4 linked regions of the Drosophila melanogaster genome follow. The protein of the gene in region 3 interacts with the protein of the main gene of each other region in a pairwise test. Each region holds a gene or a part of one and is shown on either strand. Other genes may lie near its edges.

Evidence for each region.
Region 1: the proteins of CG32086 (region 3) and Alas interact in a two-hybrid assay, tested with the Drosophila melanogaster proteins (one large-scale study listed by BioGRID).
Region 2: the proteins of CG32086 (region 3) and CG4577 interact in a two-hybrid assay, tested with the Drosophila melanogaster proteins (one large-scale study listed by BioGRID).
Region 4: the proteins of CG32086 (region 3) and CG3610 interact in a two-hybrid assay, tested with the Drosophila melanogaster proteins (one large-scale study listed by BioGRID).

What each region holds. Positions count from the first base shown.
Region 1 is NT_033778.4:23,961,638-23,968,559, reverse strand, and holds Alas (aminolevulinate synthase), read right to left. Parts: upstream 3,789-6,922; 5' UTR 3,676-3,788; coding exon 2,433-3,675; intron 2,289-2,432; coding exon 1,912-2,288; 3' UTR 1,803-1,911; downstream 1-1,802. Other genes in the region: or (orange), read right to left, coding at 52-254, 316-407, 472-540; CG34213 (uncharacterized protein), read left to right, coding at 868-902, 954-1,044, 1,098-1,391; Fmo-1 (Flavin-containing monooxygenase 1), read right to left, coding at 4,018-4,185, 4,250-4,785, 4,843-5,014, 5,067-5,253, 5,313-5,500; CG13566 (uncharacterized protein), read left to right, coding at 6,113-6,154, 6,221-6,414, 6,479-6,558, 6,613-6,905.
Region 2 is NT_033779.5:1,131,347-1,141,658, forward strand, and holds CG4577 (uncharacterized protein), read left to right. Parts: upstream 1-3,346; 5' UTR 3,347-3,512; coding exon 3,513-3,735; intron 3,736-7,274; coding exon 7,275-7,721; intron 7,722-7,777; coding exon 7,778-8,039; intron 8,040-8,136; coding exon 8,137-8,417; intron 8,418-8,482; coding exon 8,483-8,610; 3' UTR 8,611-9,810; downstream 9,811-10,312. Other genes in the region: TBC1D23 (TBC1 domain family member 23), read left to right, coding at 1-607; iris, read right to left, coding at 1,132-2,727.
Region 3 is NT_037436.4:11,581,105-11,587,708, forward strand, and holds CG32086 (uncharacterized protein), read right to left. Parts: upstream 2,961-6,604; 5' UTR 2,930-2,960; coding exon 2,406-2,929; intron 2,341-2,405; coding exon 2,164-2,340; intron 2,113-2,163; coding exon 1,338-2,112; 3' UTR 1,297-1,337; downstream 1-1,296. Other genes in the region: CG33269 (uncharacterized protein), read right to left, coding at 746-1,012; rt (rotated abdomen), read right to left, coding at 3,187-3,908, 3,968-4,747, 4,839-5,401, 5,633-6,228.
Region 4 is NT_033777.3:14,842,164-14,848,867, reverse strand, and holds CG3610 (uncharacterized protein), read right to left. Parts: upstream 3,826-6,704; 5' UTR 3,662-3,825; coding exon 2,195-3,661; 3' UTR 2,131-2,194; downstream 1-2,130.

The sequences.
Region 1 (6,922 bases), on a different chromosome or scaffold from region 3:
CGAATTCATGATAGCTGAATCTGAATGGATTGCCAAAGTAGCTTTCCCAACCTGAGAGGATGTGGTGGACGGCATCGGCGTGGAATATCAGGTCCAGCTCACACACGTTTTCGAAGCACTTGTCGAGGGTTTCCACGAACACCTGAATCAGGTCCAGGATTCCCAGTTCGCTCTCCGAGGAGTCCACGCAGAAAACGAAGTACAGCGTGGCATAGTGTCTGTAGATGAGTTTGTAATCCGATCCGCCAATCAAACTGTTGGAGGAAAGAGGTGCTTTAAGATATTCCAGGAATTTGCGGGAACAATATTGCTCACCTTCCGCCCTCCAGAAAGTTGCAAACATTATCGTCCCGCTTGGACACCAATTGGAAAGTCTCTTTGATTATTTGTTGCTGCAGGCTTTCATCCTACAAATGATAGTGACAATTTATTATGAACTAGATTATATGGATTATATGTCGCAGTACTTACGAAATACTGATAGAACTTCGATAGCCGCGGCTTCCCGTGATTGTTAAAAACGAGAATGGCTTTTATCATCTCAACTTCTAAGATAAGTCAACAAAAAAAATGAAAATGTTTAAACTGCCAGCTGTTTTGCTTTTTCGACGAGGGCTGCAAAATCAATACTTGGTATAGCATCTATAATATCGATATATCTTTATCTGACGTATTTATTTCAAAAATCTAATAAGAATCATGCATATTTTAGAAAGTTAGGGAAAATATATTTTTTAAAGCAATTTCTTAAATCGGGTGTTAAAAATCCGTACAAAAAAAAATTCTATGGATTTCTGATTGTTGCCCATCTCTAATGCCTTTAACCTCGCGGTCTCCGATTTGTTTATTTCTTATTTTTATTGAATTATGAATATTTTGACAAAAGTAAAATACAGCTGCAGGTACTCTGGGTTTTATTTTGTAACTCCCTTTAGTTAACGTATAGTTTGCAGGGTGAGCTCGGTTTTAAACAGAGATGTGAAGCAGCACGGAAAGCAATTCATGTTTGATACGCGGGAAGAAACTTCTTGGAATTCAGATGAGGTATCATCCTAAGATTTGGAAAAAAAGAATATAACTCCAAACGGCCATTTCAGGGAACCCCCCAATTCATTACCATTAGCTTGGAGGAGCCACAGAAAGTAGCTGGATTTAGTTTCCAGTTCCAAGGCGGATTCTCTGGCCAAAAATCCGAACTGATCATGTACTCCGCTGACGGAGCCCAAGTTCACCAAGAGCCATTCTACCCAGAAGATATCAACTCCCCACAGCTTTTTCAGATTGCGGAATCAGTCCGGGAAAACCCCTGCTCAAAGCTAAAGTTCGTCTTCGAGTCCAGCACCGATCTATTTGGTAGAATCATTGTTTACGATCTCCAGCTGTTCGGCTAGTCTCTGACCCAATAGATCTTACTAAATGTGTACAAAATCTTCTCTAATCAAAGTGTATAAAATCGGATCATTATCTATTGTGGTATTATCAAAAACATTGGTCCGTAATAGGATGGTCATGGTTATCAGCAATAATTGTGCTGATTCAGCCTGCCACTGCTGAAATTGATATGCGACTAATTTCATATAAATATTTCAAACTAGGTAAGCCCTTTAAGTGCTTACGAGTGTGGATCAAGGTTCAATGAAAATATTTCCACGCGATTCCCCAATTTGAATATCATTTGCATGGAGCTGGCTCGAAAAACACGCAACTTCATAGCGAAGGTGACACTCTAGTCCATGTCTTATCACCCCATATAGAAGCGTCATCAATCAGCTTAGCCCATTCCAATTGAAATTTCGTCATTTATGTATATTGCACCAAAACCATTGTTTATTTGTCCAAAACCGCACAGATAATTTAGGCATAGCTTTATGATTCGAATGCTTCATTTATAGTCGTGTTTCCAAGAGGCAACTATGCTGCAAGCGAGATCTCCAGGCGAGGGCAGTTGGGAATGCCACACTCCAGATCCGGGGAGGTGTCCTGGTGCCAGCAGCTCTCCGAGTTGCAGAACATGCATGCGTTGGGCGAAAGAGGGACGTTTGTAGAGAGGTCCACCATTTCCCACACTTTCTTTAGATCGGTAACCAGGGCGTTCATCATTTCAAAAGTGTGGAACGGGGTGGGGGCCAGCCGCAATTTCTCCTGGCCCCGGGCGACGGTTGGGTAGTTAATCGACTGCAGGTAGTGTCCGAATTGTTCGATCAGCACGTTTGAGATTTGACTGCTCTTCAGAGGGTCTCCGATCTTAATGGGAATGATGTGGCTGGGCGTTTCTTCGACGGGGAAACCTGAAATGGGGCCAATTATATATGCAGTCAGTAAACTGAAAGTTAAGTGTCTCTTTCTATATTTATAGCCATCACTTAAAATAAAACGAAAGTGCGAGAATAACCTTCAATTCGAGTTACATAAATGCCAGAATTACGTCTTACCTTCTCGCTTCAGCAGGCTCTTCAGGTAGGAGACGTTCCGTTGGTGCAAGTGGCGCAGCTGGCGACCCTCCTCCGATGCCAGGATATTGACGGCCTCCAGGGCGCCACACAGTACAGTCGGCGGTAGTGAGGTGGTGAAGATGAAACCGGCCGCATACGACCGAATCATGTCGACCAGGTTATGGGTGCCAGCTATGTAGCCACCAATATTACCGAACGCCTTGCCCAGGGTGCCCGATATGATGTCCATTTTGTGCAGCACACCATCCCGCTCACCGACCCCGGCCCCGTGGTCACCGTACAATCCCACGGCGTGCACCTCGTCGATGAACGTGATGGCCCCGTGCTCGTGGGCCACGTCAAGCAGCTCCTCGAGCGGGCAGATGGCCCCCGTCATGGAATGTACCGTCTCGAATGCGACGATCTTGGGCACGCTTTTGTCCGTCTGCTTCAGCAGCTGATGCAAGTGGTCCACGTCGTTGTGCCGGAAGATGTGCTTGGGAACCCCGCTGTTCCGTATGCCCATAATCATGGAAGCGTGGTTCCCTGCGTCCGAGAAGATCTCGCACCCAGGTAAGAGCTTGGCGAGCGTAAAGAGAGTGGAATCGTTGGCCACGAAGCACGACGTGAACAGCAGCGCAGCCTCCTTCTGGTGGAGCTCAGCCAGCTTACTCTCGAGGCGCTCGTGGTGAAGAGAGTTACCCGAAATGTTCCTGGTGCCGCCAGCCCCCGATCCGTGCCTATTGAGCGCGTCCTGGACGGCCCTCTTGACGCCGGGGTGGGCGGACATTCCCAGGTAGTCATTGGAGCACCACACCGTAATGGGCTTTTCCGTCCGCTCCGAGTACTCCAGGGCGTGGGGGAAAAGCCCGTCGCCTGCCAGGCGGTTCACCTTCTTGAAGACCCTGTAGGAATGGTCCCGCTTCTTCTTCATGATCTGCTCGTTGAAGAAGCGCTCGTAGGGAAAGGTCTCCTTGGCGGATGCCTTGCCAGGATCGGCAGAGGCGGGGGCGGAGACGGGAGCGGTGGCGTTGGCAGTTGCGGGGCCACCAGCATTGGCGTGGGCGTTCGCCCCCGTCGAGTGAGACCTTGTAACACTTGCGGCGACGAGTGAAAGTTTCTTCTCGCCGGATACCAAGGTCTTCCCAACCACGGGACAGTGGCTCCCGTAGGATTGGCACAGCGTCTCCGCGTAGTTGCGGATGAAGCTGGCGGTGAAGCGGTTCAAGAACGGACACTGCATGACGAGGCGCTATTCCACTTTTGAAGACCCGACCTAAATCAGCGAACTTTGAAAGCGAAGTGAGGTGTTCCGAAAATTATGCAAGAAGGTGATTGCGAGGAGGCGGGCGAGTGTGGCCAGAGCTGGTGAATGTGCGCTGCCCGCAATCAGCTGTTTGGAAAAATACCAACAAACATGTTCAAACAAATGTTTGCCGGTGTTCAAAAAGTTTTTGTTCGAGAATAAAAGCTCATTTTTTAAACTGTTGTTTTGGAATACAAGAATTGGAAATTTATTTTATTTCGAAGGGAAGTCCAAAAACGATGTTTTGGAATCTAATGCTCCTATTGATTGATTCAGGATCTAGTTGAGTTTAATGAATGTCTCGTCGTCCAGAATCGCGAAATTGTCCTCCCGGAAGTGGAGCAAATTCTCATTGAAGCACTTGCTGCTTTCGTTGTGCAATTTGGTCATCACAGGCTTGATGTTCTTAACTCCTGCAGTTTGCGACAAGTCCGTGAAATAGTCGATCTTGATAATAAATGAGAATAGAATTAATAACCAGATAGAGAAGTAAAGCCAACTTGCATCGCACTTGCTTGGGACCCAGCATGTGGGCATGGCGTTTTCTTAGTCCCTCCGCCCACAGTTTGCCCATCCTATCGCGGGTGTCCTTGAGCATATCCTCCGTGGACGGCAACTCGTTGGATCCGTTGTAGTAGCTCATGATGAACCTCGCTTGGATGTCCATCATTTGGGCGGCACAAACGTAAAACGGCAGTCCGATCAGAGCCATGGATGGGTTCCTGATGTTGATGCACTGCTTGTACAGCTCCTGGACGTAGTTGTCCTCCACATAGATGCCCGAGTCGACGGTCAGGAAGGGAAAGGCGTACTTGTAACCTGTGCAAAAGAAGACGGTGTCGAACTCCTGGTACGATCCGTCCACGAAAAAGGCTCCCTTCTCATCGAGCTCCCGCACATCGGGTTTCTGCTGTACGTTCTCGAAGAATGAGTGTTGCCCGATATCGGTCAAGTGGTGACTTATGGTGACCCGATCCGCCGTTCGGGAAATGATGTTCGACAGGTCCATGCCACTGGGACCAGCTCCAATGACCAGAACGGATTTACCTTGAGCAGAATGGAACACCATGTGAAATAACCTAATAGAAGTTATTCCTTAATTACCTTCGAAAACCTCCCTACTTCTGAAGTCGTGGCTGTGCAGGAACTGCCCTTTAAACCTTTCCATATTCGGAATTTGGCTATAATTCGGAGTGTGGTAGTGGCCATTGGCCACCAAGACCTTGTCGAAGTACTGGAACTCTATCTTGTTGGTGACCAAGTCTTTGAAAAGTACCTGCAAACGTTTCAGTTAAGTGGTTATATATAAAGCTGACTCCACGACTTACTTGCCACTTTGTTTTCCTCTGCAAAACTCGAATCACATAGCTATCGAACTTGATGTGCTTCTTCAGGTCGAAATGGTTCGCGTATTGGTTAAGGAAGTCGCAGATCTCGTCGGATCTCACATAGGAAGCCTCGTTTGCCCCGATTTCGAAGTCCGGGAAGCCCATTACCTCCTTGGGCAGGTTGGTTCTTTGAAGAGGCCCGGAAACTCTTAGAATATCAAATGGTTTTTCGAAAGATTTACGTACCGTAGGTTCTTGTACATGCTGCTGTGGACATCGATGCCATTGACCGCCCCTGTTGCCTCATTGTAAACCCAGGTGCCGCCGATTCGGTCAGATAGCTCGAACACAGTGGTCTCGAACCCATTTGCAATCGAATGGCGGGCACAGCAAAGACCCGCGGTTCCGGCCCCAATTATGCAAACGCTCATCATATTACAGTATTGGTTACAGCTTATATTAATTTTAATTGCTAGCTGCGATCCTAAGTGAGATAGGCCGGGATTGCTTTCTACACGCCGATTGCCTCCACGAAACTGAGGATCGCACCGTGATGAGCTCTTTGGCTTCCCCGCCTGATAGCCCTGCAAAAGTTGGGTACTTGGACTTCATTGAGAGGTTCGCTGAGGCCTTTAAGTAGTAAAATTATGCAAGTCTAATGAGAGTATCTTGCATTCGCAATCCGTATGAATCGCTGTGCTTGTTTTTTGTAATCGCGCTGATAAGAAAGAGCATAAAGCCTCTGCTTTTGTCTCGCCTTTTGTTTATGGGGCATATAAACATATATATTTATTATATTAATATTTACACTGCCGATAGGAAGCATAGGCGGCACAGCAATTGCCCACAGATGCTCAGATGTGCTCGATTCGTTGAGCAGTTCAAGGTTTTGGGCTATTATGGACTATGGGCCATGAGGCCAACTTCTTTGAGTTCGTCTTTTCCCACGCTAAACTGCGAAATTGAATGTGAGAAAATTTGCATGGGTCAGGCGGATTCGGAACGTACGTGCCGCAGTAGCAAAGTGCACGTCAAGATCGTCTAACATGGGGCTACCAGCTTGCATCTGCACCAAAGTTCTCCAACTGGCGAGTATCTTCGAGTTAGAAGGAGACTTTGAGTTACCTTGAATGATAGAGATACATCCCCATTAGATTGCCACGGTGGCGGCCCTGATTGTAAAGCGATTGTCGGACAAGCACTCGGAACGGGTGTTCGCCATCAACAAGAAGCAGTCCAGGGAGTGGACCCTCCTCAACAGCATCTCCTGGTCGAAGGAGGGCGATGACTTCGGCACGCTGACCTTCGTGGGCTATACCTTCATTGCAGCTGTGCTGCTGCTCACGAGGTAACTAACCACCCAGTGACTATGACATATATATATATGATATGCTAAGACCATCTCCTCTTAGGATCATCGAGGGCACCTCAAACTATGGCACCTGTGAGATAATTCTGTTGACCTGTGGCGTTCTGTTCTTCACCATAGAGGGTAATATGGCTCCTGGGATGCAGTAATGTCAGAGTGATGAACTCTCTCCTCCAGGACTACTGATATTCTTCACGGTGGAGCAGCTGTCCGAAGATCTGCTGATATTTGCCTATGCATTGGGAGCACTTTGCTTCATCTGCGCCGCTCTGTTCGCCCTGGACCTGATGTTCTTCAAGAACCTGCTGAAGCTGAGGGACTCCACCGTCCAAACAGACCAGTCGAAGGAAACAGTGGCCCTCAAGGTGTACAATCTTTCGCAGGAACCGAAGATGAGCTGCTGCAACATGATGCCCCGCACTCACATCGTGAACGAAAGCAGCAGGAACTATCTACGCACCGACTTGTAGACCCAAGTGAAAGAGCT
Region 2 (10,312 bases), on a different chromosome or scaffold from region 3:
TGCCGAGGTCAAGGGCAAACTACTAGACATTATCGTGAATCCCAGTGCAAATGGCGGAGCCACGGCTAGCGGCACCAATGGTGTGCCATCGGCGCCGGTGCAAGAGCGCCATGTTAGTGCAAAGGAGCGGAACGGCAAGCGCTACCGCAATGTGGCACCTGTGTTCAGCATCGACGATGAGAACGAGGATGCCTTGGACGGGGCGGGGGAGCGGGATGACGCACCGCTGACCAGCGACGGCAAGGAGATCGTGAATCTGAACCAGTACTTCAAGACGGCGGACATCATCAACGCCTTCAAGTGCCAGGAGGTGCACATGAGCGGCTACATGTACGACAGTCATTTGATCATCACGCCCGGGCAACTGGTGGTGCTGCGGGAACTGGGACGCGGCCAGGCGCAGATAATGGTGCGTCGCCCGCTGGCGAGCATCGTGAAGATCACGGCCAAGAAGCGACACCGCGACCTCATCACGTTCAAGTACGGATTCCCCGATGGCGATGGTCTGCTCATAACCGACATGGACCGCTTCCTCATACCAAATGCGGCCGAAGTTACGGCACTGATTTCAAGGCTCATCGTGCAGGTGCTTGACGACGCCAAGTAGGATAAACCGGACAACCGCCGCATGCTCTTCTTGTTTCCGCCTTTCCGCATCAAGCTTTATTTCATGAACGGCCACTGATACAAAAATCAGAGACACAAAGTGCAATGCGCCGCTGCGAGCGGTGTAATAGTTTGTAATTGGCATTGTTTTCCTTGTATTAGCTGAAATAGTATAGTTCTTATTGTAAACGAAGCGCTGGCTGCAATTGTAACATAGTGCACTCGGTGCAGAGACCGGATTTGAAGAAAATAGTCGAACGTAGTCCCAGATCACATGGCCATCCCGAGCATGCCACGCCCCCGATCCCAATTTTCTAAATTTCTAAGTGCGAATAAGGAACCCTTACCGAAGCCCTGAGACTTACAACGTGTACATGATGAGAGTAACTAATATTTATTGCAATCAAACCAAACAAATAAAACTGTATTATAATCGACACAAAAAATTGTTAAAAAATCATAGCTCTCTTTGAAATTTCATCGGAACTTAACAGATGCACCACGCAGCCGCATCTTCTTTTTTTTTTAGATTTCATGTTTTTCCAGCAGCGGAAGATTGCAGGTTGTGGTGCGATTCTGTGGATCCTGGAGACCATTGACTTCGTTGACAAGATTTTGAGCCTGCGCAAGTTGTTTGCTCCGATGGGTGCGATATAACCAGGTCGCCGAAACAAGTAAGGCGACCAGCAATATGGCTGCGCACACAGCTACTACTACTACGACTACCATTGGGTAATCTCGGACTGCTTCCAGCTTTTTCTGATTCAGCTCCAGTTTGCCCACGATCGCCAGGAGTTGATTAAATGATTCCAAGGTCACGGATTCCTGGGAAGATTTTGGTTCCTTCTGCAGCGTTGCGTAACCTGCTTTCGAAGGAACTCTTTCCCGGACTTCTCCACGGAGGGCGACAGCTGGACTGCGCACGGCACAGTCGCTTTGAATGCTCAGGATTCCACTGCCATTCAATTGGAGCTCCTGCCTCTCACCGGAGCACACTCCTATTAAAGTTAGCTCATTGGTAAGGGCCACCATCCAGGAGTTTGGTGCCACCATCTCTGTCCACAGACTCTTCTCCTTCACTTGACGCAAGGTGCAGACTTCGGAAGACTGGTTCCGTATGGCCGCCAGGGAGCAGGCAAAACTGTCATCCCCAGTCCCGTAGATAATGCGGTTGCGCCTGCAGATGAACCTTTCTTCGCCCAACTTGATGCAGTCGTCCAAGCTCTGAAGCGGAAAATACCTGTCCATATGATCGTTGATGCCCAGATAAGGTGTTTCGGTGTCCACCAGTTGGATTACGCCATTGTTTAACCGTGGAATGGGCGTCAATCGGTAGATATTAAACTTCTCCGCATCGAGCAAGGGCACTGTGATTTGGAACTCCACGTGGTTGCCCCGCTGCCGAGGAACTACGGAGGCGAGAAGGTAAATATTCCGGATTGTATATCGGCCATCCAGATCTCCCAGAATTGGCGGCATCTTCGCTTGCAGCTGTTTCATTGAAAGGACAAGAGGACTAAGCTTTCCGTGGTGGGCAGAGATTATGGCTTCAGTTATGGCATTCTGGGCACTTTTTAGTCTGCTGCCCATAAGGTATAGATACGGCTTCATCATAATCAGGTTTTCAGGTTCATAAGCCTCGTGAAAGGGTTCTTGAAGTATCACATTTATAACATTAATGGAGCTGTCAATGCAGGATGTTCCCATCCCAAGCTCGATGGACACGTCGTCATCTCCCAAAGAAAGTCGTCCGGCCCTAAAGTCCAACGCTTTCTCCAAGTCAATTAGTCCATCGTGAAGAATACTATCCGCAAACTTGGTAATGTCCAGAATTTCTGGACAAAGATTCCTTTGGATATCGCACACATCGACCAAAGCCTTGTAGACACCATTGAACGCACGTATTGCCGTATAAAGCGACTCCAAGTTGAAGCTGGCACATAACTTCCAATCTCTGGAGGCTAGCGATGCCTGACCGCTGTACTCCACGAAGGTGCCCAGACTGTTGTTGAATCCCCGCATCGCCATCGGACCTCCGATCGCCTCCCGATCAACTGGGCTTCCATGGGAGAGCGCTATCAGCGAGGGGGCGAGGATGAATACCAAACTAATCGCTTTCATCTTTCGCTTGTAGAGGTGATCGTTGCCCAGAGTTCCGCGCTAAACTGAAGGTGAGCTCCTGAGAATCGGGTAGCAAGCGGTAGTGCATGTCCATATGTATGTTCAATTGCTGATATAGCAAAATGATCGGATCATTGTGCGCAATATAAATTTTTAAATATTTGCAAGTGAGGCAATTAGCCAGAATTAGCTTTCAAATAAATATAATATAAATATATAATATACAAATATAACATAAGCCATCCATATTTATTATACATTTTACACTAGTCAAGTGCATTGAGTACTAATATAGTGAATTTACATAACAACCAGTGTCATAGCGGCATAACCAGCACCACAGAGGCCCACCGATGCGACCTGGCAGTAACGCAGCTCTTTGCAGATCCGGCGCCGGCGCAGTAGAGGATTGGCTCGCTGCCTCGCCAGGCAAGTACGTAAGCAGGCTCCTCCGAGCTCCGCGGTCTTTATCAATGAGAGTGACGTAGGTTGTGTGCAGACCGGACGGGATTCGGTCGGCGAGTGGAGGAGTTGGGTGGCACTTTAATGTGGTCTGCAAGCCAACGGCCAACGGCACGGAATCGGGGCAATACGTTAAAAACTGTTGCACTGCGTCGCTGGGACGTCAGTTCATTCAGAACAGTCGAAGTGCGCAGACCACTGGGATCCAAACACCGGCAGAAACCAGGCCAGGAGTCGAAGTCGACCTCCCACCTCCAGCCAGATCCGAATCCTATTTGGGACACCACCAGCTAGAGCCAAGTCAAGTGCCGTTTGCCGTAAACATGCCACGCATCTCGTTGCCCGGCAGCAGCCTGCTGGTAGTCCTGGCACTGATCCTGTGCCTCAGCCTTCCAATCCGGGCGGTGCCCACCTCCGTGCTCGCCCAAGACACGGAGCTCTCCACCAGCGCCAACCACAAGCTCCAGCAGCAGCAGCAACAGCAGCAGCAGCATCACCAGCAGCAGCAGCTCCAGCAGCAGCAGCAGCAGCAACAGCCGGCCACAGGTAAGTGCCAAAGTTCAGTACAGGTGGAGCAGCAGCTCCGCCCACGCCCACTCTTAAGGCTAAAGGTCACTGGGAAAATGCGAGTTTTTGAAAAATGCCCGGCCCGAGAAGGCTGTGCCTCCAGCCTCCAGCTCGTCGTCTGCGTGGGTTGGCTGGCTGCTGGCTTTTGAGGGTCGGGCATCCGCTCGAGTGGCTCCATCTCGGAGCTCATCTCGTTTAGCATATTCCATTTCCCATTTACCGCTCGTCGTTCGCTGTTTCTGCCAGGAAATTGCGTAGGTGTTTTGCGCGAGGACGACAGCTGTCGTCCTTTTGAATGCCGCGCTCCATGAGCGATTTATAAATTTCCATCCTGCGGTTGTTTTTCTTGCACTGGCTTAGTGAATCATTACTGTGCCTGCACAGCGAGAAAACTACCAATGACTTTTCTGAGTAAGTGGGTAGCTATATGCACTCTTGAAAGAAAACTATCAAATAAAATAAGTTTTAAGTCTTTAAATTAAAGTTTCAACAAAAAAATGATTATATAAATTATATTAAATTATATACATATATATATAATAATCAAATTTCTGCCAAAATATTCACGAAACATATATACATATATCAAGCTGCGGCTTAAAGCACAATGTTGCCTTTTCTTTCAACAACTCTAAAGAAACATATGGTATTCTGTATATACAGCTCCACGATTTCTCCCAGTGCAGTTACACTGTTCATATATGTAGCTCAGCGCTCACCAACACAAGCACACGGGAACCTACAGCGCAGTTAAACATCGCGTAGGCGTTCGCCACACAAAATGGCGGCCAGCCTCCTTTGTGAGTGTGTGTGAGTACGTGTGTGCGTGTATGTGAGTGGGGGGGCCTCCATGCTGTTAAAGTGTGCGTACGTGCGCGCGATTTCATTTCTATTTTTAGAAAGCGAGTTAGGCGAAAGTTTTCAGCCCCTTTTGCGCCCCTTCCGCTCCTCCTGCACTTTCTGCTCGCCTGGCGCCGTTCGCCTAGCATCGCCTTACGCCATCGCCATCGCCATTCACCACATCTTGGGTGGCAAGTGCCACCCATTGCCGCCCCCACTTTCACCGCAGCATTGAGCCCTTAAGTAGGCAGCCAAGCTCAAGCTGTTAAGCCTTTCCGATCCATTCCGAGTATAAATACGCGTCCGTGTGTGCAACACGTTCGTTAGCGCTCCAAACCGCAGCAGCAACTAAGGCCAAAAGTAGCGGGGCTTTGGTCAGATGTCAGTTGCCAAAAGCCAGCGGCAACCACATCAAAATGTAAAGGGCAGGTGCCCAGAAAAGGGGAAGGAAGCATGTGATTGGGGTGGACAAGTTCAAATTTAAATTTTAACATTTCGCTGCATACTTTCAAATCTTTCAATGTTCTAATGTAAGTTTATAGATACAAAATTTGCCTTTGGGTAAGAAACAAATCTCTAGGGATTAGATGTTTTCGAGAGCGATAAGCTCTCCATCGCACATTTTTGTAGCATACTTCCAGGCAGCGCCACTAACAGATTTTTGCCCCAGCACAGTTCGCTCTAAATAGATTTATTATGCCCCAATGTGGGCGGAATGGCGCCCCCGCCCCTTTCTACGTGTTTACAGAGCCACATATGGCAACCTAATGACAAAGGCAAACAGGCTGTCGCCGCCAAGTGTCCAGCTGTCGGTAGTGCAAAGTGAAAACAGGGTCCACCCCACGGATTAATCCACGCAGCAGCAGTCAAGTGGGCGCATTAAATATTTATGAGAGCAGTGCCTGCTGACCCCTCGCCTTTTCCTTCCTTCGCCTGGCGATGAAGTAGTCAGGAGGGAAGGGTGAGCACTCCAGTTGGCACACCCAATCCCGAAACCACAGGCTCCCAGCGCATTTTCCTGCGCTTGACAAATTTTTCCATATGCTGCGGCTATTAAGTTATTTCTGTGCGGGGCCGAAAGAAACGCCCAAGGACTTGGCCGTGGCGTTAATTGTGTTCATGTTCGTGTCCACATTCCCATGTTCATGTCGCGCTGTCTGTGGTGGCCCGACTTTTCGAACAGCTGCTGGCCAAGAGCCACCCACCAGCCCCCAATCTCTGCGCATGTGTGTGTGTGTGTGTGTGTGTGGGGAGCAAACAACTTGTTGATACTTTTGCAGTTCAGTGAACAGCCTGGTAGAGTAGAGACCCAGGACGACGTCAGCCAACGTCAGAGCCTGCCAGCTTTCTACTCATTTATTTATTCAAGTACCCCACCCGAGGAGCACCCATCCGGGCTGATGGACATCCGTGAGCAGGACATTTGCCACACATAAATATAATTGAGGCGGTGGCGTGGGCGTCATGGAGGCGAAACATGAGCATTGTGGGCATTAAATGACTGCCAATACGGGGAAGCGTTTAGCCAGCGGGTTTCAGGAATTGTCGTCTGTCCCAAGGACTCTGGGGAATCGCAAACTGGGTTACGGGCGCTCCATAAAAGCGTATCCACATTCAGAGAATGTGGAATTTTACAGCTCGACTAGAGTTGCACCAGGGGACATACTGTTTCTCGGAAGGAACTTGTGTTTCCACGCAACATGTTAGTCATCACTTTGAAAGTAATCATATCAAAATAGCTTTAAGGTATCAAAATAATTCGTTTTTAGTTACGATAGTGGTGTCTAAAACTAAATAGTCACCTGCAAAGTAAGTTAAGTACACACTTCGAAACATTCATTTCCCATTCGATGCGAACCGCTAGTCATTTTATGGGAGCCCATTTCCTGATAGCCGGATATTATACCACCTGGCCCTTTCAATTGGCACACCCTAATAACACATTAATCATTGGGGTCGTATAAATCATGGCTATGCGGGTATCTACTCCATTCCACTCTATATGCGATATCTCAGTTCCAATAATCATGGAGATAAGCTATAGATACTGGTATAGATATTCGCAGAAACCTGCGAAATACCTCATACAAATCCACTGCGCAGGGGAGTTGAACGAGTTTGGCTGGTCCATCTGAACTCGGGATTGGATGGATGGGGCAGTTGAAATAACCGCATGCCCATGAGGAGGACTCATGTCAGGTGCTAACTGAATCCTAATTGGCGGCGGCCAGCGCTCAATTAAAGATATCAACCGATCCGAGATATTAAAGCCAATTCAGCCGTCCAATTAGCGAACCAACTGTTGCGCAAAGACCCTTTTTTTTCGATTGGATGCCAGTGGGGCGGCAATGCGATTAGGATTAATAAGGTCAGTCCTCCTCCTCTGGGTATTACATCGGGGATTAAGTGGACATAAAGCCGGCTGTCAGGGCGCTAAAAGCAATTAGCCCAGACCGAGAAATATGCTCGGGCGTATAAAACAATTATGGTACTCGTTCTGCGGACGGCGGCTAATTGGTTTTGCGGTCACTTCTCGGCTGTGGGGATGTTGGGAATTTATTGAATCAGCCCCGGGTAAATGGTAAATGGAAAGTGGGAAATGGCAAGTTGGAAATGGAAAATTCGAGTAGCCCGGACAGCAGCAGCCGGCGTTACCCATTCCCCATCTCGTTCACCAGCCAAACGCTCCGAGGAGGCGAGTGCCGTGCCCACGGCGGACAAGAAGTCGAGTCCGGAAATTGTGCCCGCTTCCTTTAGCAACGCTCCGTCGGCCCGAAACAGCCCAGTTCCGGTCTCCAGCCAGCAGCAGGAGCAGCAGCAGGTGCCGTCCGGAGTCTACGCCCTGCCCTCCAACGAGGAGATCCTGGCCGCCGTAGCGGCCGCCGCCCAGAACAGCCAACAGCAGTTGCAGGAGGAGCCCTCCGCCCTGGAGGAGGCGGTGGCCAGCTCCACGATGCGCAAGCGGGGCATCAATTACGAGTACAATCCGTACTCCGTCGCCTCCAGCGACTACGGCAGCGATGTGCCCAGTGGCGTTTGGTCCGACGACTACGAGGCCGCCGTTCCTGTCAGCTATGGCGAGCGGGATCTCCAGGAGATCGATGACTACGTGCCAGAGCGAAGAGGTGCGTCCAAGAGCGTGGCACATCCATTGCTAACTAACAAAAAACTTAAATTCCAGTGAGTAGCTCGAGTGCGCGAAACAAGGCCTACGACAATTTGCAGAATCTCCTGAACGCCGAGGCCTATCTGGAGAGCATTCCCCTCTCGGTGCCGCTGACCTATGCCAATCGGAACTACAACGTGGATGAGCGCAACAAGCGGGGTATCTACTACAACGTGGGCACTCCCGGCGGCAATGGGGCGAGCAGCCTGGGCAGTGGAAGTGGCTACAACGACGAGGGTATCAACCTCAACAAATATCGACGATTCAACGACATGCGGTGAGTTAGTAAAGCAACACGGCGTATGAGTGATATTTTACATACATAACAACTATTACTAAGGGGTAACCTTTTGTATTCTTTGCTCCAATCCCAGACTTAAACGCGACACCCAGCTCAATCCCGCCGACATGCTGGCCCTGGTTGCCCTGGTGGAGGCCGGAGAACGGGCGCGCAAGGAGAGCGATGCTGAGAGCTCCGGACCGGTGCCCATGATACCCTCCGATGACCTGGACTACGCGCCCGCCGGCAGCTGGTTCGACGTGCCCGTACAGGCGGACTACTACGGCGCCGGAGTGCCGCTGGACAACCAGAACCAGGCGATGCCCAAGTACGAGTACGTGCCGCGTCAGCACAAGTACAGCGGAGTCAATAGCCGTAAGTCCCGATTGGGTTGGCAGCAAGAGTCGGAGGTTCGTGTTCTATAACTTTCAATTATCCAGCAGGATTCGGCTCCTCGAAGCAGCGCTACATGGTGGCCAAGAAGAAGCGCTCGGTGAACCAGAGCCAATTCATGAACGAACCGGTGGCGGAGCGCGGATCCGGCTACAATGGCGAGAAGTACTTCTAAGGATCCCACGCGGAGATAGTCTACGTAGTACTTAATGATAGCCACAGGCCCCACGAAGAGTATTTCTCGTTTTTTTGAGCATTGAACATATTGAACATAATCCAAGAAACCAAAATCCAAATTCAATTTCTAATTCAATTATGATAAAGAGCTAGTGTCAAGGTCAACTCGTGTGCAATTTTTGTGTAGAATTTCACTTTCAAAAAACCCAATGGCGAGAATTAAACTATTGTTGCATGCAATGTGGTGCGTCAGGAGCATAATCAATCAGTGTCTAGGATTTTGTCCCACGGAATCCGCACCGAACTAAACCGAATCTATATCTACGCCACCTAATCCCTGTAAGAAATCGGTGTCTATGTACAACTACTGCAATCTGAAATCCAGCGGAACCGCAACTTGTATCTGTATCTACTTATCGAACTAGAGGCTTCCCGACTAGTACAAAACGAGAGAAGAACGTCAACTATGAATATGATTATATATAAAAATATGAATACATCTATACATGCATATATCAATCCTAATCGAGCTCAGAAGCGACAAAAGCTCCACTAACCGCTTTAATTTAATCTAAACTTATACTAACTAAAGCTAAAGCCAAAGCCAAGTATTTTGAATGCCATCACATTCCGAACTACACTTTTTATGTAACCCCGCCGACTTGGGGACAAACGATCTGACAATTGATGAGAATTTTAATCGTATTTAGCGAGTATCGCAGCTAATATGTTGGTAAATTATATATATATATATATAAATATACGTATACAATATGCAAACAATTTGTGGATAAATTTGTTAAGAAATGGCTCAGGGCATAAATATTTTAAATATTCTATGCCGACGACGAAGAGGCGTATTTTTAATTTGAATAAAATTGTCTGACTGTTTTCGGTAATAATCAAATATACATACATATGTGTACTATGAATATGGTAAAATAAATTATATTATACAGACTAAAATAAAATAGCGTATATATATATGTGTGTGTGTATACAATACAGATTATATATAACTATATATATGAACACTCAAGTAACCTTAATATTATATACTTTCCCTCTGAATATTTGGCCTTTGATTTACGCCTTAAGTTCTTTGCGTGAACTTAGTTTGAAGATACATTTATTTACAATCAACTGATTTACGATTAATAAATACGTCTTTGGTTTGAAAACCAATCAAAATTGGATGAACTGGGAGTTTTTTGACCTGAAAACCAATTGGCTGTGCTCAATGGCAGAAAATTCAATGAAAGTGGGTTGTTTTTTCCCACCCATATCGAATCTTAGAAATGTGTCAATTCAAAGCTTACATCAAGTTACAATTAGGGGAATTTGTATATTCAGCTGCGCAGTAACCGCCGCTCAATGAAAAAGTCATAAAAATCATTTTCCACTTCCACGCTCGGTTGCCAGCCGCCAACGAAAGTTTGAAAGGAAAGTTAACTAATTTGAAATTGGGAGACAATTCAATGAAGACCAATTAACAACAGCTAGACTTCTGGGGCCTCTCGAGCGAAGTGTGTGCCAAAAATTAAATAAAAACCAATTGGCCTTCGCACACGCGTTGACATCCATCGCCATTCGGATGGGTTTCATCATCAATGTTCCATGCGAAGCCACATTAAAGTGCTGCATGTCCGGTGAATGAGTGGAAAACTAGATAACCGTGAAGCAGCGCCATTGTGGCCACT
Region 3 (6,604 bases):
GCACCTTGTAAGCACATATGGTTAGTAGTCAGTTTAAAATGATTTCCTTATTAAGATAGGAAGTCTCTTAAGTTGGTATAATATTTATTTATCTATTAAAGTTCCAATTATAGTAAAACAGCTGTTTTACACATTAAAGTAACCTAAAAATGAAGTGAGTAGAAGTGGTAATTCAGATGCATTAAAATGTTTCAAATTCAGTTTAGATAATAAATAATTTAATGGACTTTTAAGAATTGAGTATTGCCTGGAAAAATAGAAACTTCTGTGATGTTGCTTCTATTTAAAACGATTATTTATTATTCTTTTTATTTATTATTCTTTAAATTCATAATAAAATAAGAGAAACAGCTGAAGTCCAATTCCTCGACTATCAGATACCTATTACTCAGAGTTTAGCTTGCACAAGTGTCTAGTGGAAAATGAAGTAGAATGTTTTTATTCCGAAAATATATGTAAAGGCAATTTTTTGCAATTTAAAGGCGATGAAACTATTTCTTTAGAAAATTGGCGACCGATAGACTAAATCGGCTATATATTCTGATAAGGCATATGTGTACAATACAATAGGATCGAAAACTTTTTAAGTGTTACCTACTTTTAAACACACATTGCATACCCATTTACTATGCGTTATGAGTTAAGGGTACAAATACTACTTAAAATAATTTTATAGATAAAATGAAAATATTAGGCAAAATTCTTTTAAAAAGAATTTCTTTATTTCAAAAACTACTAGTGCAGCTTAATTTTTCCTGTGGGTCACAATCACGATGGTCTTGTGGCACCTCTTTGGGTTCTTGCACTTCCGCTTGGGAATGCGGGTGTGGCACCAGTTGTTGCCCCTCCAACAAAGCTTTTTGTGAGTGGAAGCGGCCGTTGTTGTTGTTGTGGTCGATGCTGCAGTGGTGGTTGTTGTTGTGGTGGTGGCATCAGTTGTTGTTGTATTACTAGAAGATGAAGCCACCTGGATGGCCAGGGCAATAAGGGCAACCACGAACAGGTATTTCATCTTTGATGTTATTGTTGGTTATGTTGGTTAGCTGGCAAAGCAATTGATATTAGACTTGGCTTAAAAGCGGCGAAGGGCTGTTGTGATCAACTGATGTTGAAGTCACCCCATTTATAGTTCTCCAGTAATTTCCGGATTTAGAAAACTAGTATTAATTTGATTTCCTAACTGATCACAGAAATTTAAATATTTGGTCGTAAGACACCAGCTTTGAAAGTTTAATGCTGTAGCAAATATTTGCTTCACACAAATGACAGCCCAAACTTATGCTATAGTTTATTTTTGTTTATTATATATTTGTTTGTCATGGTAAATTGTCTAAGTATTATGTAGATATGGCCTCTATTTTGTTGTGCATTTCAGTACGAAACTGCGTGACGGATGCCATTTCATTTTGGTCCTTGAACTTAGTCATTAGACTCTGCCAAATAGCTTCGAATTTATCAGTTGTTACGAGACTTCTAAAGATACGTTCGATTTCCGCTTTGGGCCGCAAACAGGTGAAATCACTGTGAGTAAGGCCACGTAAAATGGCCAAATCCGGTGTTATAAGATCCTTGGCAGTTGTTTTATTCCCTTCGAGATTCTGGCTAATTGCTCCCGTATTATCCTTTGACTTGTTTTGAAGATCGGCGCAGAGCAAACGATATGTGGTGTCCAGACAACTAACATCGGATACATTGGTCAAGTTTCCCGTTTTCGGCAGAGAATTCTGAATCGAGAGAAGTCGAAAGAAATCTACATAATTCACCCGCTCCGTGGCACAGCCCTCGTCCACAATCAGCCGAAAATTGGACAAGGCCAGACGGATTTTTTGCGCATCCAGACGGATGTGAAAACTTCTGAAAATTTCCAAGATGCGTGCCAGTGGCAAGTGACCCGTTCCATCCGTGTCACTCCTCTCCAGCACTGAATTTAGTGCGTACTTGTGAAATTCCAGCTGGTTCCTCAAACTATGACGTTTTTTGTTCAAATAGCGTATGGCATCTAGTAGCCGGTTGGTTTTGTAGCAGGGTTCAATATTATTTAGCAGCATCTTCACATCGCCATTGCTGCGCAGAGGAACACCGAAAGTTATGTCGGGCACCGCAAAAGTGTACCTACAGACAGTCTAAAACTATTAATCAAAATCTATATCTATCTATACTTACTTTTTGTTTCGCATTCCGAGGGGTGCCTCGTTTCGATCCATAAAGTCCACTTGCGCCTTGCCAATAACCTTCAGGTGGTTCTCACCTTCCTCCAGACATCGCTTCACTTTCAGTCCAAAATCGCCGTGAGTATGTATATCTCCACAAGGTGATTTTCGATCAAATGGTTGGGCATATCTAAAAAATATTTAAGACGTTCATTAAATATGCACCATTGCATTTGTAGTGACCAATAGCTTGACCTGCGGTTAACCTGCTCCGAAGGAAAGTAGTGATTGTGGCTGATGATGTACTTGTCGTGGAAAGCCTCGTACTCCTTATTAACTTGCTCCGCCGACTTGGCCGGCAATATGACGTCGTAGAGACATTCATTTTGTGATTGACTCGATGGACTTCCGAAGGTTTGGCTTATATTGGTCACGTCTTCCGGTTTGGAGTACGTTTTCTTGACCCCACCCAAAGTGGCCTTTTTGAAGTACATTTCCTCGTAGAACTTCTCCTTGAAGGACATAAAGCGCGACTTTTGCAACTCGCTGGTGAGCAAATCCCGGATGCTGCTGCTGGGTTGAACGGAACCGGCTGGGAACTTCTGGGATTTTTTATTGATCTGCCCGTAATTGCGCCTAACTAGACTCTCAGCCAATTCTTCTGGATTGCTAATACTAAGACAAACTTTTACACCTTCCGCTCCATCTAATCCACTGGTGGACAATCCTGCAGTCGGTATATTTGCATTTCTGTCTATAAAGTGTCCCTTATTGGCCATGTTTATGAGTGTATTTATGTATATAGTGTGGGTTCAAGTGTTTTCAGAGTGCTTATACATATTACTGAGTGATAAAGCAGAACATCTTAAATAAATAAATAATTGTATTTATTGGTCTTGTAAATGAGTATGTTTACATGTCAAATAATTTATGGCTTAGTATTAGTTCAACTTTAGCTAGTCGTCTAGTCTATTGTACATGGTACTAGTACATCATTGCACGTCTCTCTCTGGCCGCGGAGATGGCATCTGTTTTTTCAGTACAGGTGGTGGTTCTTGTGCAGGACAAAGTCCCAGGTATCCTTCCATCGAAGACTGCGAACCTCATTTAAAGTCATTTTTCTCGCACCATAACTGAATGGTATAAACTTTGAGAAAATGCTAAGCACGCCCACCAGCCACAGGATTAGCATGAGGCGATAAAGGCGCACCAGATGGACACCACGTCCGGTGCAGAAGCGCCTGAGCAGATAGTCCAAATGCTCCACGACAAAGCACAATAAAAGTAACTTAAACACAAAGGCTGGCAAGTAATTGTGCAGGAAGAGTGTACGATCCACACAAAAATACGGAATATAGTGCATCACGTAGCCCATAAAAAAGGTGTCACCAGCTAATACGAATCGCTGCCACTCTTGCTCCGAAATATCAAAGCAAAGACGTTGCCGCCGCATCGCGTAGAAGGCGAGTAATCCGGCATAGACAAGTATTCCCATGGTGGCTGTGTACCAGAGTAGTATGTTTCCCAGCAAATAGATCTGCGCACTCGACTGTGAGTCCAACCAATAAGCGATGCCCTTGTCCATTAGCGGCCACTCGTGCGGCATCGAGCTGTACATGTGATTTGGCACTGACTTCGTTTGGAACAGCATCTTGGATTGTAGCTCCAGTAGCTTGGCCCAGAACGAGATGCGCGTCCGCTTTGTGGGTATCATCTCGGCAGTTAGCATCTGGCGCTCTCGCTCCCGATGATCCTCAGCTATAAAGGGTTGTAAATGAGGATAACGTATTTCTTCAAGTATCTCGAAGAGGACTTACTCTGTGTATAGCGGTGCTCCTCAACATTCCAAATGGCATCCTCATGTATTGCCTTTTCACGATCCGCCACCACCTCGTGCTGATTGAAACCCCATTCGGGAAGTTGGCGCCCACTGAACTTCAAGGAGGCTTCTGTGGACACGTGAACGAGGCGGACCTCCGACTTGATGGCATGCCAAATGTCACCTTCGGAATCGCGATTCAGAATCTCCACGCGCCACAACAGTTCACCGGCCATTTTGATCTCGTAATCTATGTAGCAGCTGACTTCTTGGCACTGCGGCGTCATTGCCGCAGCCACATCGTGTGAGTTCAGAGCTCGGCTCGTAATTCCATGGACCAACTGAATAATTTCACCGTGCCGAATGATATCCGGCTCATCACCCACCACCAGGTTCTCCTTTGTTGGTCGCTTAACCAGCCACCAGTTGTTCACATCCTTGAAGGAGTAGCAGGTGACCTGCTGCTGGTGGGAGGAGCCTCTCTTGTCCGGATACCGCACCGGATAGACAGCTGCATGCGAGTGCAGCCAACAGGTGCGTCCGTGGGTGTGTCGTAGTGTGATTTGGGATCCATGAACCACTGCCAATGGCTGTCCTTTTGTGATCGATGCCAATCCTCCATCTAACGAGGCCTGAAACGCGCTAGTCATGATGCTATCATGCGGTCCAGCCCGGTGCAGCGTCTTGAAGTGGATATAGAAGACTCCCAAGTAGACCGCCAATGGAATTCCAACAAAGATTAACAGGCGACTTATGGCATGCATCCATAGCTGGCGATCTTGAAAAAAATGGTTTTATTTTGATTTATTCAATCTCTATTATTATATCGTAAATCGTATTTGTAAATCTCAGAAAAAAAGGTATCTTACCGGTGAGACCGGCGTCGTAGAGCAGTTGCCACAGGTGTCGACACAGCAAATAAAAGGCTAGCCCCAGTGCCAAGAATCCGACGTACTTGACGGTTCCGGCGGCTCCCAAACAGACGGCAGCTGCCGTTCCAGTAAAGAACCATTCCAGGCTGCCCAGGCGACTTCGTTGGAAGCGTAGCAAACAGGCGATGCCCACCGTGGTGGCCAGCAGAAGCATTGATTCCATCAGAACAAAACGGGATTGCGTCAGCAATGAGTTGTCCAGGACCACAAGCAGGCCACCCAAAGCGGATGACCAGCGACTGAGCTTCGCCTCCAGCAAAAGATTGTAAACGGCGGGGGCCAGTAGACTGCCGCACATGGCTGGTAGAAATCGGAACCAGAAGATGGGCATTTCCGGGGAATAGGGCTCTCCAATGCGGGTAAAGGTGTAATTGCCATCGTAACCAGCCAGGCTGACCAGTCCGGCGATCAGCTGTTTGCCCAGCGGTGGATGTTGATCGAAGAAGAAAATGTTTCGCATGTACATGGAAATGTACTTGCCGTAGTGGAGTTCATCGAATCTGTTGGGTAGGAAGTATTTTACTATGAATCTTGAAAATATTATAAAGACATAGGCATAAATCATTTGAGCTATAAATGCAAGACTTAAATGTAATGCAATGAACTTAAATGTAAGACTCTGCTCTCGCAGATTAAATTAATAAACAAAAAATCTAAGACATTGTTATGTGTGTATTTTTTTCATTCAGCGGTGACCCCATTTGCAGGTTTGTTATTGTTTTTCTACTCACACGATGTGCGGCGGCGTTGCCAGCTTGTAAAAACGCGTGCCGAAGGCCAAGAGAAAGAGTGTCCAACTGAAGAGATCGATTCTCAGGTTAACGGTAAATGGCTGCGAACTCGCATTAGCGGTTTTTCTCTCTTCTGCGGATGCTGCGCCAGCGCTGTTCTTGTCGATTTGTTTTTGGCAGGAGAGCGAGCGAGACCGAGACGGCGAAGGCGAGCGTGAGAGGGAGCGCGAACGATCGGAGGTAGGCGAGGGGGAGGCTTGTTTTGGCGTCGCTACCGGCGTTGGCGTCGCAGTCGGGGTCGGCGTTGGCGTCGTGTGCCGGTTAACGCTGCCGCGGAGCGGCGCATTCAAATGACAGTTGACGTCGACGCAGCAATTGAGCATTGTTAAAGCACGAGCGCCGTTACAGCACAGTGGTGAAGGTGAGTTGCTGATTGCTGTGTGTTGTTGCATCGAGTTTGTTGAACGGCTGCGAAAGTGAAGTCTTTCGTTTGACTCGCCGCTCAAATCGCTGCCTGTCCATTGGTGTTGTTGTTGCTGCCTCACTTTGGCCGTCTTGCGGCGCTGTGTAATTGTATTGGTGTAGGTGGCAGACATAACGGCTTCGTAGTTTTTGTTATTTTTTTAAGGTGCGATTTGCTTTGCGGAATTTAGCGGGCATTTCTTCCTCGCATTGTTTTTCTTACCCACTTTCACTGATCAATTAGCATTCGTTAAACATGAGATAATCAAACCAGCGATTAGTTGTTTCACTTTTTGTTATGTAAATTTTTTATTTTGCCACGTTTTCCTGCTAACAAAAAAACTGGTTTTGCACTTTCTACACTCCACTTGTCTCGCTGGCTCTTCGCCTTGCAGCCTTCTTGGTCGATTTGCATTTACATACAAACGATGGCCAGCTGTTGAAGAAAGTTTCGATGCCGAATTATTCCCACAAACACACTCTCACGGAAGTAAAATAACTATCTTTTCC
Region 4 (6,704 bases), on a different chromosome or scaffold from region 3:
TACTTACCATTATTATTCTCTATGGCGACATACCATGGATAGTGTCTGCTGCGGTCGCATTCGCTGGCTTTGCATTAAAAATAATTGTTTATTTATAGCAGTCGATTGGCTTGAAACCAGTTCGAATCGCAGCGTTAAGAAAGCACACAAACAAATCGCTGCCCCAAGGGCCATAATAATGGATCGCATATATTTACGGCAGCCAATGCTGATATCATCTTTGGATAATTGCACGCAATTTTCACTCGGCGCCCACGTGATAATCGTGAGATATATGCTACTTCAGCCACTTCGACCGATATCTGTGGGCTGCATTTTGCGTGGGCTTTTAGATCAAGAGTCCGCTTTTAAATGGAAGTGGCTGATGGCATTTTATAACCACCAAAAGTAATTTTTATGAGCATCTATTTCCCCCGTTTGTCTTTCGGCATTGGGCACATTAGTATGCAATGCCACTGCATTTTCCGTGTCAAGCATATGCGTATACTGGCTGCCAACCTGACTTATTTCCACCCGCCAGCCAACCGAGCTAGCAAGCCAAACCTACGAGCCATGTTAACGACATTGCATTTCCTTCATTTTCCTTAGCATTTCCATTTTCCATTCCCAGCATGGCAAGCAAACAGCTAACAACAACCCACTTCTCGGGCCTTTTATTGCTTTGTTCTCCGACTCGCATTCAATGTCTCAGAGCCTGTCTTTCATTGTTCCCTTTTTTGGTCTGCCTCTGCAGAGAGGAAAAAGTCATAAATAATAAATAAATGCATATTCTATATTACAATTTTAGTCACAATAATTAAGGGAAGATCAGTGCAACTCTCATGTCAAGGCAGCATATTAGGATAACCCAGAATGATGAGGTGTAGCTTAAAATTAATAATTTAATTTAATGTATAAAATGTTTATTGGCCTAGGCTTTATTTACCAACCCATTTTCTCTCAATGTTCCCCCTTTCTGGGTTGGCTTGAAAATGGGGCCCCCAGATGATTGTTGTGGCATGAATACGTTGGAGGAAAGGTTCTTCGATTCGAGTGACCAACGAAGCAGAATCAGCTCAATTACTCAACTTTTGCAGATCTCGTTTCCAATTTCATAGCAATGCAAACACATTTGCAGCCACACGACGACTCAACTCCTATTAGAGCCAGTAACGCTCTTCCAGGTGGAAGAGCTGCAGACACGCCTGTGCACACAACTTCACATCTTTTTGGCCAACTTGAAGATCTGGCCCAAAAAAAAAGTTTCGGCATAAAAAGTTTGCCAACCAAGCTGCTCCTCTATGACCAGACCAGAGTCGAAAAGACAAAACAACCTCACACCATTCAGCAGACTTAAGTTGAAACAGAAACTGGGTTGTGATTGTGCTGGTCGCTTCTATAAGTCTGCACTGAAAGAAACCAAGCATTGATCTAACAAGAATTTCCCTAATTTCCTGGTTAGTACAACTAGCATGTTTCATTTTAATAGTATGACTACAGTTTATAGAACTAGTTGAGCTCGCAGCACCCAAAAAGAGTTTCTTTCGATAGTTTACAGTGTACTGAAAGCATAAATATATCTTTTTTTCTGCACATTGAAGCTGAAACTTGGAGCCAAAGTTATTGCCAGGGAAAGTTTCCGCAGGTCGTCAAGAGAGTGCTCCAAAATGGTTGCCAAAAAACTGACTTTGCCAACATTCTTGAGCCTTCTTCGCCAGCCAGTTATGAAATATAAACCTGTCTCCTCCGGCAGCCGGCTAATGAGTCCAGAAATGGAAAGTAAAGGAAATGTATGTAAGCCCGGTTTCAAAGTGCACTTACGCTCCCATCTGCGTGCGTTCGAACCGTATTATTGTAAACAAATTTCCAGCTGCAATGTCGGTAAACCGGTTGCTCGAGTACGAAACCTGGAAACCTGACCTGCTGCAAAAGCTTGGCCAAAGAATGGATAAGAAAGTGAATTTCATTTGCCATCCCGGCAGCGCCAGCAAAGTCTATTTAAAAGTGCAGAGCAGCAAAATGGAAAATTAAGCACATCCTGTGCCAGTGGGCTGCTTCACATGAGGTAGTATACTTGATAAATAATAGCCAACATCCAGGGGGGCGTAGGTTTAATAATAACCCGAAGAAAAAAACAAAAAGTACTTTTTTGTATTTTTTGTTTCTACAAGCCTTAATACGGGCATCTAGCGCGTATTAAATGAAAACTCATTAACTACTTCTTAAGGTTTAAAGACTTGATCTCCTCTTCGGTGAGAATGGATTTCTTGAGCGCTGAAAGAACTTCAGGTGGCTGCTTGGAGAGCAGCTTCATCCGCTCAATAGCCACAAGCTCATCCTGGCGATTCTGTTGGTTGTAGACCTCCTGTACAATGTCAACCACCTCCTGGGCAGCGGCTTTCCTGTTATTCTTGGCCTCCACGACCATGTGGGCCATGTCCTGGTAGCATTGGACATCCAAGCGCCGGGTGTTCTCCCGCTGGGCCACTTGCATTCGATACTGTCGTTCGCCGAAGCACATGGGATCCTTGGGCATGACCAGGGCATCCTGCACACCCTTATCTCGGAAGAACTTCTGCTCTTCCCGCTGGCTGAGGAGCTGTTCGCGAATCTCCTGCTTCTTGGCCATTTTGGTTCTAGCCTGTTCCAAGGCCTTCGCGTTCTCCTTGGCCTTGTGCTCGCGGATTAGCAGACTGGTGATGACTTGATCTCGGGACTCCAGATCGTGCTTGATCTGGCTGAGCTGGAAGCCCAGCCGAGCGGCATTAATGTCCCTGGCCTCGATCTCATCAAGGCGTCGTTTCCGTGCCTTTGACACATAGGCCGCCGTAACGGGTCCCAGGGCATCAAGGAGTCCTCTCTCGGGCTTATTCTTTTGGGCCAGAGCGTAGGCCTCGCGGGTTTGCTTCAACATGGCTGCCGATTGGTCTAGGGATTCGAGGAGCACCTTGCGCTGCTGCGCCTTTGTAACTGCATCCTTTAGGATTCCCTGCTCCACTATCTCCTTGCATTCCTTTAGCTCTTGACGACCCTCGGCCACAGCTATTCGATGATCTTGTATCCGCTTGGTACGCCCCTCGGTAATCTGGGCCATTAGATCTCTACGAAACACGGCTGCCTTCTGAGCCCTTCTTTGCTTCTCCTCCTTCAGCTCCTTTTCCACGGCTCGCTGTTCCGCCAAAGCTTCGGCCCGCTCCCGCTGCTTATCTTCCACCGTTTGTTTGATATTGTTGGTGATCTTGTTCTTGACAGCCAACGCTGTGTGGGCACGGGCCACTTCCATCTCGAGATCCCTCAAATTTTCCACATTGCGATGAAGTTGAAGGCATCTACTGGCCTCCACCTGCTGGCGAGCCAGTTCCCTTGCTACACCGAGGGTGACATCCACATCGGTTTGCTCCTTCCGTTGGCGCGGATGCAGGTGACTGTTGAGCATGGCGGCCACTTCGTCCACCTGGTGTTTGACCATTCGGAACAATGAGCTCTCCGCGACAGACGACTGTGTAAGAATGCGGCACACATCCTTATCAGAAACACAGTCGTCCTCGCCCTTCGGCATTGGTTTGAACTCGGTCAGAAGATTCGGTACGGGCTCCTGGGAGGCGGTGGCAAAAATCGAGGCTCCCGGTTCATCCCAGACAATATGGCCAACGCGATCCGACTCCGGTTGGAGATTTTCCATCGTGGTTCAAGAAAACAAACCACTTCCTTTTAAAGAAATTACTTAGGAAAATTTAACTGGGAATGAAATATGTGATATGTCAAGGCGTTTTGAGTGGTATTAGTTCACTCAAAATGTTTTTTTTTTGTGCTAGTAACCTAACGAAATCTACTGACTAACTGAAGACTGCTAGAAAATTTTCAGATATTAAAAAACGACAGTTTTCAGCTGGATAAATAAGTTTAGAAAATAATATTCAGGTTAATTCAAATTACAAGTATGTTATGAAGAATTAAGTGAAACAGATAAGAGCTGGCTAATATTTTTAAGCTGCGAATATAAAGCCACTTTTCTTGATTTTCTGTCATTGACAGAATCTGTCAATTGCCCACGATTACAGAATGTTCCCTTTATATCGGTAAGTTAGCTTACCGTAATTGAAAGCCTGTCCTTCCGTAATTTCAAATTACTTCCTCTGTGAGATTCTGGAAAGGCATTGTAGCTTTATGCAACTACTTTTCCTGAAGCTCAGAAACATGCACTCTACTGTGGGCTGTCTGTGGAGGTCTGTGTGGACTTCCAGTGGATTAGCATATTTGAGTGGGTTCTGGGCCAAGAGGCCAAGAGATCTCTCTCTCTCTCTCACCTACTGCATGGCCGCATTGGGAGCCACAAGCTCGACGGGGGCCAACTTAATGGGGATATGTGCATCAAAGTAAGGCTCAAGTGCTTCCCTTGCGAGCGCGTTGTTGCCCCGACTATTGGCTATATATACCTTTGAATTTGCATACGAATTTGTATGGAAAATCACAACCGAGCTAAACGATTGAGTTTCTGAGCTCGAATGCATTGCACTCAATAGAAATAATATTTCTCCTGAATTTAAAACAGCTATTGAGCTAAAAAGGTATTTAAATAAAAGTCAATTATTTACAGAATACTGAGTATATTGGAAAATAAGATAAAACCAATTATAATTTGTTCACAATTGCAATCAAACATTTTCAACATACGTATATTTAGAATTATAAACTATGGTAGACGTTCTAGAGCGATCTGTCGAGGATTTTTATCGTCTGGCTTCCATAATTTATATATAGTTATCTAACTGCTGAGCGCTGGTTAAATGCTGCCCTGTCATCGCCGTCTTCATCATCATCGTAATCATTGGAGGCAGAAAAGAGCGGAGCTCTCCCAGACCATCAGTCACTGTCCACGACAGAAGCTCATTGGCGGAGTCTCTGTGGCAGGAGGGGATTGAGTTCGTGGCGGGGGGGCATGGGGAATGGGACATGAGTAGCTCCAGTAGCAGCTGCAGCTTCCGAAGGCACTTTCCTCGACGCATTTGTTGGCTGTCCATGGTTTTTGCCGACCAGGGTCCGGATAACCTTTCCATTTTACAACTGTCAACGGCGCAGCGAACGCGATTTGCCAGCGGTTTGTTTTATTTATTTGTTTTTTTTTTGTGCCCCCCCCCCCCCCCTTATTGCCATTTATATTTTCCTCCTGTTTTCCCCAGTGTCGTAATTACGCGTAAAGTTTTGTGCCTGCATTTGAAATTGTACGCAATTTTCCCCGAAAGTGTCAACGCATGTCGGGGCTTTAAAGTTTTGAAAAATGTTAATTTGTTGTCGTTGCTAATGCTGCATTGGGTTTTTCTCTTTTATTTTCCTTTAGCCGCCAATGCAGCTGCTGTTTGAGTTGAGTTCAGTTTTGTTTGTTTGTTGGTTGGTTGGCAATTCGAATCGAACGCGTCTGGCATTACATGACACTCATTATTGCACATTAAGTTGGATGGATGATGGAAAGTGGCGGTCCGACCCTATGAGACAGCAGAATCGCTGGACTGGGGGGGACAATAGAAAGCATTGTTGCTTACCTTAATTGATATAATAAGTATATCTGCCACTCGCACGGAAGTTCGGCATTAAGTCTTTAGCCAGGTCATCGTCAATTAATCAAACCATCTTCGGAGAGAAACTTGCCATGTCTGGTTCAACGAACTTTTCGCGGGGCTTTTCATTGGTATTTAACATTTATGTGTCTCGAATGTAAATGCTTAAAAAAAAGGAGAGGGTAGGGTTTTATTTAGATTTTAAATCAAGCTACATACTACCTACGTTAGGTTAGAAGTAGTGTCGAGATATTATTTCACCTGTAACATCCTTTGATATCTACTGATTTAGGGAACCCTTTTCAAGCGAAGGCAAGCCTTTCGCTATTTGTTGACCTGGAATGTCGGACAAGTGAGGAATGTACACAATGGCAAAGTGCTTGAATCGCCATGTACCGTGCATATATAGTGGTCATATAGGGTTTCTTGTATTCCACTGGGCAACCACATGAACGAAACTTTATCCCCTTGACCCTTTGGCCCCCGTGGCTAGTTCGAAGGCACTTGACTGCTGGATTTGTGCAGATGATTTTATTTTATTTATACACTTTAACTTTGAATCCATTTAATATTGAAATTTCTTCGTAACTTTAGACGGGACTATCAATAATTTCCGGAAAAAAGATGCAGGACGGCAGCAATACGGAAAAACTTTCAACTGCAAGTGGCAGACAGCTCAAGACAAAGTTTCAAGTGCAATTTTCATATAATTTCCATACAAACAAACAGACGGTTCACTTGGGGCACGACCTGAGGTCGCGTTTATGTTTTATTGAAAATGAAAATATCAATTTGCCTTTCAGGAATTTATTTGCTACTCATAGTTTCATGTTTTGGAGCTTCTTACAAAGCAGGAAAATTCTTATTAGGAAGTTGAAATGGAAATTTTTTGCACAGATGTTTCGTCTATTCAATGAATAAAAAATATCTATCTATTAATTCCATAAAAGGAACCATGAATAAATTGAAAATTCAGAAAATAATTTGTCTACGAAGACTAGGAAAACACTTAAACAAATCTATCAAATACATTTAGCTTATTGGTAGCCCGATGATAGATTTGTTAAGGAACAAAATCATTATGCAGGTCAGCAGATATTCCAGAGCACCTCATTTATTGTTAAATCTTGTTACTTCTTAAACCAGGAGAAGGCAATCCTCCGATTCATA